Linked DNA regions of Saccharomyces cerevisiae S288C. The protein of the gene in region 2 purifies or fractionates together with the protein of the main gene of each other region. This does not show direct contact. Each region holds a gene or a part of one and is shown on either strand. Other genes may lie near its edges.

Evidence for each region.
Region 1: the proteins of COX8 (region 2) and COX13 purify together in Saccharomyces cerevisiae (affinity purification with mass spectrometry; 2 studies listed by BioGRID). This does not show direct contact.
Region 3: the proteins of COX8 (region 2) and COX2 purify together in Saccharomyces cerevisiae (affinity purification with mass spectrometry; 4 studies listed by BioGRID, with this or other methods). This does not show direct contact.
Region 4: the proteins of COX8 (region 2) and COX3 purify together in Saccharomyces cerevisiae (affinity purification with western blotting; 2 studies listed by BioGRID, with this or other methods). This does not show direct contact.

Annotation. Positions count from the first base shown.
Region 1 is NC_001139.9:142,892-145,777, reverse strand, and holds COX13 (cytochrome c oxidase subunit VIa), read right to left. Parts: upstream 971-2,886; coding exon 581-970; downstream 1-580. Other genes in the region: IME4 (mRNA (N6-adenosine)-methyltransferase), read right to left, coding at 1,730-2,886. UniProt on the Saccharomyces cerevisiae protein: Component of the cytochrome c oxidase, the last enzyme in the mitochondrial electron transport chain which drives oxidative phosphorylation.
Region 2 is NC_001144.5:909,141-911,811, forward strand, and holds COX8 (cytochrome c oxidase subunit VIII), read right to left. Parts: upstream 826-2,671; coding exon 589-825; downstream 1-588. Other genes in the region: SUMO ligase CST9, read left to right, coding at 1-258; tethering complex ATP-binding subunit VPS33, read right to left, coding at 1,095-2,671. UniProt on the Saccharomyces cerevisiae protein: Component of the cytochrome c oxidase, the last enzyme in the mitochondrial electron transport chain which drives oxidative phosphorylation.
Region 3 is NC_001224.1:72,077-75,013, forward strand, and holds COX2 (cytochrome c oxidase subunit 2), read left to right. Parts: upstream 1-1,681; coding exon 1,682-2,437; downstream 2,438-2,937. Other genes in the region: Q0255 (maturase-like protein), read left to right, coding at 2,419-2,937. UniProt on the Saccharomyces cerevisiae protein: Component of the cytochrome c oxidase, the last enzyme in the mitochondrial electron transport chain which drives oxidative phosphorylation.
Region 4 is NC_001224.1:77,434-80,565, reverse strand, and holds COX3 (cytochrome c oxidase subunit 3), read right to left. Parts: upstream 1,354-3,132; coding exon 544-1,353; downstream 1-543. UniProt on the Saccharomyces cerevisiae protein: Component of the cytochrome c oxidase, the last enzyme in the mitochondrial electron transport chain which drives oxidative phosphorylation.

The DNA.
Region 1 (2,886 bases), on a different chromosome or scaffold from region 2:
TTTTATCCCATATCTTCCCCACATACTACTACTGTTTTAATTGAAATTTAAATTGAACTTGAATTCAAATTTTTTAGATTTAGATTTGCCCCTCATTGAAAATCTTTCTATCTTTATTTTTTTATTTTATCTTCTCTACTTATATTTTTATTCTACTTCAAGCGTGTTTTATTATCATTATTCTGAGACTTATACCATTTTCTTTCGTTTTTTTTCTGATTAGCTATCTTATAAACACTGTATCAATTATTAATCCGACATCCCTTTATCAGGACTTCTTTCATCACTTCACCAAAACGCGTGGAACATAAAAATAAAACGTCTTAAATTCTTCTTCATAGGTGCATGTTTATGTTTTTAAATGCTTATACATTTGCAATATAATTATATATATATAGATGTTTAAGAACGGAATGATGCTTCGCCGCCCAAAATACCTAGTACCTTTAGTTCCTATCAAAGGATTAATCTTTTTTTATTTTGAATTTTTTTTATCGAATATAAAAGAAATAAGTAAGAATTAGTAAAATTATCATAAATAAAAATTTTTCGAAAAGTTTATTCTCACTTAATCAATTAATTAATCGTCGTGCTCGATGTGCCTGTTGACAACAGGATTCCAGAATAATGTCTTATCACCGTCACCCCAGAAAAAAGGCTTAGACCTGATATTCATAAACTCGTAATCCCTTGGCCATTCGGAGTCTGGCACATGTTTCAAATGTTCACGATGCTCAGCATGCTCCTTTTCAACAAAGTATGTGTTCACAGCTGTTAAAGCAATTGCTGGTAGGGCGACCCAAACTGAGATTTTAACCCACATATTAGATGTGTCCTTCGCATGCTTTTCAGTGGCCATTAATGATTCTTTAAATTTTTGAGCTGCCACTTTATCTGGTGGGCCAAATGCAGGTTTCAAAGCATTTGGGGGTAATGAAGATGCATATCTCTTAGCACACTGTCTAAACATTTTTCTATTGTTTGTTATTTGTATAACTGTAGAACTGTAGTAATATGATTTTAAATCTAGATAAAACACATGCGATGTGTAGTGAAAACGTTCAAGGCAACGTGTATGTTTGTTATATTTAATGTATCCCGTCACTCATCGTGATCACATCCCAGCTGGGGGTTATTTTTCGATTCTCTTAGACCGATACTCCCAGTACCGCCTCTCATTGGTGGGAAAAAAAATTACCCGAAATTACTATATTGTGTCAATACCGCACCATATCACTACATTCATAGCGGTATAATCGAAAGGATAGCGGCGTTGGGTTACTACTATCGTCTACCTATTCAGCAGGATAGCTTACTCTGTATTAGCAAATAATAGTCGTTCTTCGCTATTCCCACAGTTTCCAGTAAGAACGATTGGAGTAGAAAAAAAGAATGGTAGAATGCGCCATGGGAAAGAACCGACCAAGAGTGGGAGCAAATAAGTCAAGTAATTACATTAGTAGTGTTTAATGGTTGAAAATATGGCCAGAACTAGTATTAGCTTTCTCCAGGCGACAACAATTTTTAAACATCCGGGTAATAAATTGTTCCAGTTGATGTAAAAAAATACACGGACTCGGATAATAATTATTGGACATAAACCATATCCTTCTCTATTCCAAAGTTTGTCTAATACAGACCAGGAAACCATTTACTTCCCGCTGCAGTCTTTTTTATGACCATCTTTTTTATGCAATGCTATTAATGTTTAAAAGGATTATTTAACGCTTTACTGAGCAAAATATAGGTTATTTAGTGTTTGGAATTGTTGTTTTTGTTGCTGTTTGGATTCAAAGGGAGTATGTTTTTGATTCATAGGATTCTGCTTGGCCTCAGCATAATACTTACCACTCCCCATATCCATATTATTCCAATACTGCTGCTGATGCTGCTGCTGTAATTTTGAAGGTTGCTTTTTGTCGATTTTTTTAGTACCAGTGTGGCTGGTTCCAGTTTTGCTCTTCATAAACTCCTGGTACTTCCTCTCGACATCCATTTCGTAAATGCAATTTCCTGTCAACTGGTTTCCGATGGTAAACCAGCCAGGCCGCGTATTGTGATCCCTTCCGAATATCTCTAGTTTTCTGGCATGGGTGCCTGCCAACCGTTCTGCTATACCATACAGTTCATCAGGCTTTCTACTAGTCTCTCTGGTCATTGATACGATCAAATCGACGTCAATATGTTTGTTGATCCACTTTGGATTACCCTTTAAGCCCACCAATAAATGCTCCTTAGAATGATTTAACCAATGACCCGTACGACCTGTAACAATTGTTCTACCCAGTTGGTTTGTCTTTATCCATGAAACTTCATTTATCACGTTGTAACCCCAGTTATTCAAAGACTCTTTACCCAATTCTATAGCTCTACCCGTCACCCAAAGAAAAATAATACCTTCATCTTGTAGTTCGTGCAAAGGCAAACCTAATAGTTCAATATCGTTGCAAGTACCGTATGGTAGGTTCATATGGATATTCCATGCAGGATCTGCAATAACTACCGAAAACTTTCCAAGAACCCTAAAATCAAATTTCCGCACATCGCAACGGATCCACTGTGCAGGTAAAGCCTTTTTGATACAATGTGCGGAGCAATTGCCCAGAGTATAAAATGGAATGGAAACGTTTGACCGTATTCTTTTATTTTCACTCGCAGTTTCACGATCAGCTCGCTCTTGCAAGCATGACGGAATATATTGCAGGTAATGAATGTATCGACACGTATTTAATTTATGACAGGTATCCAAATAGGAACAATCTCCTAACGAAATATCAGTTTGTGGTTTGATATTAGGGATAAAGTGAATTTTTGATTGAATGCACTCAATTAATCCTGGGTGATTTTCCTGACATGCGGATATTTTGGACCATTGTAAAGAAACGA
Region 2 (2,671 bases):
AATAATACTATCAGCGGTTCGAATAGAATAACACACAACTTGAGCTCACACGTAAGAAGCAGTGGTCTTGCCTTTTCATCTTCATCGAACTCATTGCAACAAAGTAAACTGCCGAAATCAAATATACTAAAGCGGTCCAATTCAACTCAGCAACTGACTAATACACATTTGAAGAGTGATAATCATCTGCCACCTCGCTCAAGTAATACTGTGTTGGGTAGTAGCAAGAAAAACAATAAGTTTAGAAGGATTAGGTAAATAGGTGTAAGGATTCCCCGTGACGAAAACAGCCTTCAGAATAGATAGAGTATGTTACTGTATTATAAAAGTTATTCTATTTTCTTATGTGTTACTATATATGGTATTATTTTAGAAGAAATTTGTCGAATTATGTTCTTCTTAGATCCTTCTTTCCCGCCGTCTCAATACGAAGGCACAAGGAGAGGATTATGAATATATGAAAAGAAAATTGTACAAATAAATAAAACGATGATATGCGCACCTAGGAATAGCAAAGAACACACTCTAAAACGTCTCAACCAAGCACGCTATGTACACACATCTATCCTTCAAACTTATGGGGGTGTTTTAAAAAGCACCTGACTTTTTCAATTGAACATAGCAGGCAACAAATGGAACAGCAAATCCAATAGCGAAGAACCCGAAATGAGATAAGGCGTAAGGTGTCTTTCTTCCTTTGACTTTGAATGGGATATTTTCATACACACCGTCTTTGAAGTGTACTGACCTCTTCATGATAATAGGTCTGGTCATGATATTGCTACTTCTCTTAGCTGTCGTTCTAATCATCTGTTGGCACAACATTGCGTAATGGAAATGGATAACTTTTCTGTTTAGTTTGCTCTGTGGCTCTATCTAGAAAATTAAAGGATACAAAACTAATTAACCATTCTTATAAATCACTAAGCCAGCACAATGGTTTCTACTGCTGTCAGCCTTTATTTTCAATTTTTCTTAGTCCCCTAGCTTTTCCGTAAACACCGAACACTTCTCTCGTATGATTGGTGCAAACCGTTTGGTGAAAAAAAGCACATTTGCATATACAAAAAATTAACAAATCTATCATATAATAATTAAGATATAGAGTTCATGATCCTTGTGCCATTGATCAAGCCATCGGCGATGATGATAAACCTTTTATTGATACCTTTTTTACCTAGTATTTTTTGCAAATGCTTCATTATAGCTATTTCACCCATTGTTACACCTCCGAGGAATACTACGAGTGCAATATCCTCTGCAGCATGAAATGTCCCATTAGATCCGTCTATGGACCGTCTATTATTGCTCTTGATGCTTGCATTGATCTTTTTTGTAATGGTTCCCGGGACCCATATACTCTCTTCGATCGCATGTGAGTCTCCATATAACTGTTCAATTAAATCCTCCGTTTGAGAAACTCTAGGTTCTCTTGACAGTATAAAAGGCTGCTGCGAGGAATAATTATGGAACAAGATAGACCTATCATATAACATCTGAACCAGTCTCATTGTCAAGGGCACTACACCACTGTAAGCAAAAGTGGCTTCCGAGAAGTCATCGTTCTCATTTGTGATTTTATCGGCAGCATGCTCGTCTTCTATGGGTACTGTATTGAACCATTGTGAAATATAACGGTATTCTTTCTGTAATCTTGTTGACTTACTTGTTGTAATATGCAAATCAGTTTTTCCCGTTTTGCTAGTGAAAAATCCTAACTCAGCCAATGATTCAAGTTGAAAGCATTTTTCAATGCCCCAAGAGTCGATCATAAAGGTTCTTAGATATTCATAATCCTTTTCTCGAAGTGAATTTTTACAAAGAGACAATAAACAGATTAATCTGAGAATCTTCTTTTGATCAACCTCGTACTGGTACTGCAACTCGAGTATAATATCTTCAATGTCGTTATTAAGTGTATTTCCCATCAAAATTTCCAGCTCTAACTCTAAGATTTTATTGAAAGATCCGTACTCTTCAGTCTCTACCACTTTCAAAACGTCGGATGATAAGGTTGTGTGATTTTTCAAAAAAGCTTGCCTTTGTTGCAAAGAACCTAAGGAATCAACGAATTCTTTGATTTCATGTACGCTCTCGGCTTTATGCCTTGTATCATATTGCGTTTGTAGTTCCTTTGCCAATTTATTTAACTGCGGCCCAATCGACCCAAAATTTAAAAATTTCAAATCATTCCATATTTTATCTTCCTTATAATTGAAGTTCATGTCTTTCTCCTTTATCTTTATGCCAGAATTGAATTCATATAGATCATCTAGTATTCCTGCATACGTAAGTTGTGTCAACAATGGCGTTATAGGATCGGTATTCCTTTCCAAGATAATCAAGTCCATTTCTAGTCCACAGTTGGTTCGTTCACCATAAAGCGTACCCTTGATGAATAAATCATTCTCTGTTTGATGCTCATCGATTCGTTTCTTCAAAAGATGGCTACATCTCTTAGACAGATTACCTATCGACACAACATTTGTTATGATACTATTAGTTTCAAAAATCAAGCTCTGCAACGAATTGACCATATCATCAACCAGTATTGACTCTGTGGCACTCTGCAAAGAACGTAAGTTGGGATAATACATGTTTACATTTTCCATGTTATAAAGGGAATGAGTCAATAGAACATTTTCATCAATCTGTGGGAAGGGCAAGAGAT
Region 3 (2,937 bases), on a different chromosome or scaffold from region 2:
AAATAAATATGTATATATAAATTATATTTATTATGTTTAATTATTTATAATTTATTATAATATATAGTATAAGATATCTTATTTATATTTATATATAATAAAGAATATTATTAAACTAACACCTATATTATATATATTATATTATATAATATTATATATATATTAATTACTAAGAATAAATTTATAATTAGATAATATTTATATTTATTTATTTATTTAATTAACAAATATATTAATATTTTTAATTAATTAATAATACCTTTATATATATATATATATATATATTAATTTTAATTATATAATTATCTTTTTTATTAATAATTATAAATATATTATATATTTTATATAATAAGATTATAATTTTATAATTATTTTATTTTTTATTAAAAATTATTATTATTATAATTATTATATTATAATTATAAATTATTAAAGAATATATTTATTAATATTTTAATAATTAATATCTTTTATTTATATTTATAAAATAAGGTATAAATATTGATAATAAAGAGTAAATATTGTATTAATTATAATAATAATTATAATTAAGGAGCTTGTATAGTTTAATTGGTTAAAACATTTGTCTCATAAATAAATAATGTAAGGTTCAATTCCTTCTACAAGTAATAATGATTATAATATTTATATATATTAAAATAATATTAATAAATAATTACTCCTCCTAGCAGGATTCACATCTCCTTCGGCCGGACTCCTTCGGGGTCCGCCCCGCGGGGGCGGGCCGGACTATTTTATTATTATTAAATAGATGTTCATTAAATAATTATAAATATAATTTATCTTTTAAATATATATATATAATATAATATTTAAATATATATTATAAATAAATAAATAAATAATTAATTAATAAAAACATATAATGTATATTTATCTATAAAAAATATTAATTAAATTAATATATTATTACAGTTCCGGGGGCCGGCCACGGGAGCCGGAACCCCGAAGGAGATAAATAAATAAATAAATATAAATAATTCTTCTTCTTTAAAATTAAATAAAATAAAATAAAAAGGGGGGCGGACTCCTTCGGGGTCCCGCCCCCCTCCGCGGGGCGGACTATTTTATTTTTAAATATATATTATATTAATAATATAAATATAAGTCCCCGCCCCGGCGGGGACCCCGAAGGAGTATAAATAAAAATTAATAATATATTATATATATATTATATTAATAATAATAATAATAATAATAATAATAAATAATAACTCCTTGCTTCATACCTTTATAAATAAGGTAATCACTAATATATTATAATAATAAAAATTATATATATTATATATAATCTAAATATTATATATTTTAATAAATATTAATATATATGATATGAATATTATTAGTTTTTGGGAAGCGGGAATCCCGTAAGGAGTGAGGGACCCCTCCCTAACGGGAGGAGGACCGAAGGAGTTTTAGTATTTTTTTTTTTTTAATAAAATATATATTTATATGATTAATAATATTATATATATTATTTATAAAAATAATATATAATTTTAATTATTTTTAATAAAAAAAGGTGGGGTTGATAATATAATATAATATTTTTTATTTTAATTTATAATATATAATAATAAATTATAAATAAATTTTAATTAAAAGTAGTATTAACATATTATAAATAGACAAAAGAGTCTAAAGGTTAAGATTTATTAAAATGTTAGATTTATTAAGATTACAATTAACAACATTCATTATGAATGATGTACCAACACCTTATGCATGTTATTTTCAGGATTCAGCAACACCAAATCAAGAAGGTATTTTAGAATTACATGATAATATTATGTTTTATTTATTAGTTATTTTAGGTTTAGTATCTTGAATGTTATATACAATTGTTATAACATATTCAAAAAATCCTATTGCATATAAATATATTAAACATGGACAAACTATTGAAGTTATTTGAACAATTTTTCCAGCTGTAATTTTATTAATTATTGCTTTTCCTTCATTTATTTTATTATATTTATGTGATGAAGTTATTTCACCAGCTATAACTATTAAAGCTATTGGATATCAATGATATTGAAAATATGAATATTCAGATTTTATTAATGATAGTGGTGAAACTGTTGAATTTGAATCATATGTTATTCCTGATGAATTATTAGAAGAAGGTCAATTAAGATTATTAGATACTGATACTTCTATAGTTGTACCTGTAGATACACATATTAGATTCGTTGTAACAGCTGCTGATGTTATTCATGATTTTGCTATTCCAAGTTTAGGTATTAAAGTTGATGCTACTCCTGGTAGATTAAATCAAGTTTCTGCTTTAATTCAAAGAGAAGGTGTCTTCTATGGAGCATGTTCTGAGTTGTGTGGGACAGGTCATGCAAATATGCCAATTAAGATCGAAGCAGTATCATTACCTAAATTTTTGGAATGATTAAATGAACAATAATTAATATTTACTTATTATTAATATTTTTAATTATTAAAAATAATAATAATAATAATAATTATAATAATATTCTTAAATATAATAAAGATATAGATTTATATTCTATTCAATCACCTTATATTAAAAATATAAATATTATTAAAAGAGGTTATCATACTTCTTTAAATAATAAATTAATTATTGTTCAAAAAGATAATAAAAATAATAATAAGAATAATTTAGAAATAGATAATTTTTATAAATGATTAGTAGGATTTACAGATGGAGATGGTAGTTTTTATATTAAATTAAATGATAAAAAATATTTAAGATTTTTTTATGGTTTTAGAATACATATTGATGATAAAGCATGTTTAGAAAAGATTAGAAATATATTAAATATACCTTCTAATTTTGAAGAACTACTTAAAACAATTATATTAGTAAATTCACAAAAGAAATGGTTATATTCTAATATTGTAACTATTTTTGATAAGTATCCTTGTTTAACAATTAAATAT
Region 4 (3,132 bases), on a different chromosome or scaffold from region 2:
ATTTATAATATATTAATATTTCTCCTTTCGGGGTTCCGGCTCCCGTGGCCGGGCCCCGGAACTATATAATATTTAATAATAATCAAATAAAAAATATTTTTTATAAAATAATATTAATAATATATATATATATATGAATTTATATATTAGTTAAATTAATAATATTTATATTATATTATATCATATTAAAAAAGTCCCGCTGGAGGTGAGGCGGTGACCTCGAAGGAATATAAAAATATAAATAATTACATTATTATATTATATTATATTAATATTATATTTTTTTTTTTATAAATATTAAATAAATTTATTAATTATCTTTATAAAAGGTAAATGAAAAAAGAGTATAATGATTATATTATTATTAGTTCCCGCTTCGCGGGAACCCCGTTAGGAGTTTTGAAGGAATAATATATAATAATTATATTTGTAAGAATATTATTATAATAATATAAAATATATATATATAAATTATAATATATTAATTATTGTTAATTATTAATAATATATATATTAATCATTTAGATATATAATTCTATAGCCTTAGACTCCTCATCAGTAGAAGACTACGTATAAAAATAATCAGATAACATCTAAAACATGTAGATAAATAATAGTTGTTTCATATCCAACATGATGTCCAGCTGTTAAATGATAATTTCTCATTCTTCAATAATTAACACCTAACATAGCTGCTAACATTACCATATGTAAGAAATGTAATCCTGTACCAGCATAGAATACTGAACCATAAACACCATCAGAGATAGTGAATGCAGCATTAGTATATTCAATATATTGACAAGTAACAAAAATAACAATTAATCAGAATGTAATTAATAAACCTGATAAGGCTTTATTTCTATTACCTGCGATTAAGGCATGATGACTATAAGTTACAGTAGCACCAGAAGATAATAAGATAATAGTATTTAATAAAGGTAATTCGGTAGGTTGTACAGCTTCAATACCTACGGGTGGTCAACATGCACCTAATAGTACATCAGGACTCATAGCTGAATGGAAATAAGCTCAGAATAAACCAGCAAAGATTAATACTTCAGATAATACAAACATTAAGAAACCTAAATTAATACCTTTTCTTACTGCTATAGTATGATCACCTAAATATGTAGCTTCAGCTACAATATCTCTAAATCATAAAATAGAACTTGTTAATAATACAAATAATGCTAAATATACCATATTCATATTACCAATATAACCATGCATTGTTAATGCTAGTGATAATGCTAATGATAATAATGCAAATGATACTACAATAGGTCATGGTGAAGGCATAACCATATGAAATGGATGTTGTTGATGTCTACTTCTTTCTAAATGTGTCATAAATTTATTGTTATATATATATTATATATATAATATAATTAAATAAATAAATAAAAAAAATATTAATAAAATATTATCCCTTAAACTATATAATAAAATTAAATAATAATATTAATTTAATAAATCTTTTATTTAATAATAATATAAATTATATTAAATATTTATAATAATATATTATTTATAAAATTATAAAATAAATTTATATATAATTCAATATATATATATTAATTTATATATTTAAATTAAATATAATTAAATAAATAATATAATCGAATTAATATCTCTTTCGACCGGATTATTTATTCAATTATTAATAATATAAATAATTAATTTGTATTGAATATAATTTATTTAAATATTTTATTATTATTATTATTATTATTATTAATTTATTAATATTAAAGGAAATATATTTATTATATTATATTATATATATTTTTTATTATTTATATTTATTATTAATATAAATCATTGATAATATCTTCTTTTTATTTATTTATTATTATAATTAAAAAAGAATCTTATATTAATTAATATTATTTATTTTTTTTTTATTTAATAAATAAATATTATTATATTAAGATAGATATAATATTATATCTAGATTTAGGAAATATAGGGTTCGAACCTATAATCTTTCGTGTGTAAAACGAATGCTATACCAATTAAGCTAATCTCCTTTATAAAATATATACTCCACAGATATATATCCAAAACTCTTATTAATTATTATAATTATTATTTTATTTATTTATATATATATAATTATAATAATTCATATAATTATTATAATCTTATAAATATTCCTATTGAAAATTATACTTTATAATTAAATTTATTAATAATTATTTAATTTAATATATAAAATATTTATTTATATATATATTTATATATATATATATATTTTTATAAGTAGTATATTATATTTTATATATAATAATATTTATAATATATATATTATAAATTATATATAATATATTATATATTTATTTAATAATTTTTATATAATTAATATATTATATATTTAATAAATTTTATATAATTAATAAGGTAAATATAATTTAATGGTAAAATGTATGTTTTTAGGTGCATATTATCTAAGTTCAAATCTTAGTATTTACAAAATAAAAAATTAATATAAATTTATTATAATCATTTATAAATTTATTATAATATTATTATTATATTTATTTATTATTAATAATTATTTATTATTTATTATATAATATTTTTATAATTATATATTAAATATATATAAATTTTATTATAATAAAACTCCTTCTTAAATAGGGGTTCGGTTCCCATGGGGTCCCTCACTCCTTACGGGGTTCCCGCAAAGCGGGAACTAATAATAATATATATTTTTATATATATATTAATATATATATATATTTATAACTCCTTTATTGATATTTATTCTTATTTAGAATATTTTTAATTAAATAATATAATTAAATGAATACCAAACTTATATTATATTTATATTTATATTTATATTTCTCCTACCGGGGTTCCGGCTCCCGTGGCCGGGCCCCGGAACTAAATATATAAACTTTTTTTTATAATATTATATTTATTAAAATATTAATAAATAAATAAATAAGAGATATAATATATATTTTCTTTGTATTAAATATATTATATATATATATATTAATTATTATAATATATTTATTATAAATTAATTATTAATTAATATATTATTATTATTGCCCTTAATGAGAATCGAACTACATGTAAATAAATCTTCAATTTATCGCTTTACCACTAAGCTATAAA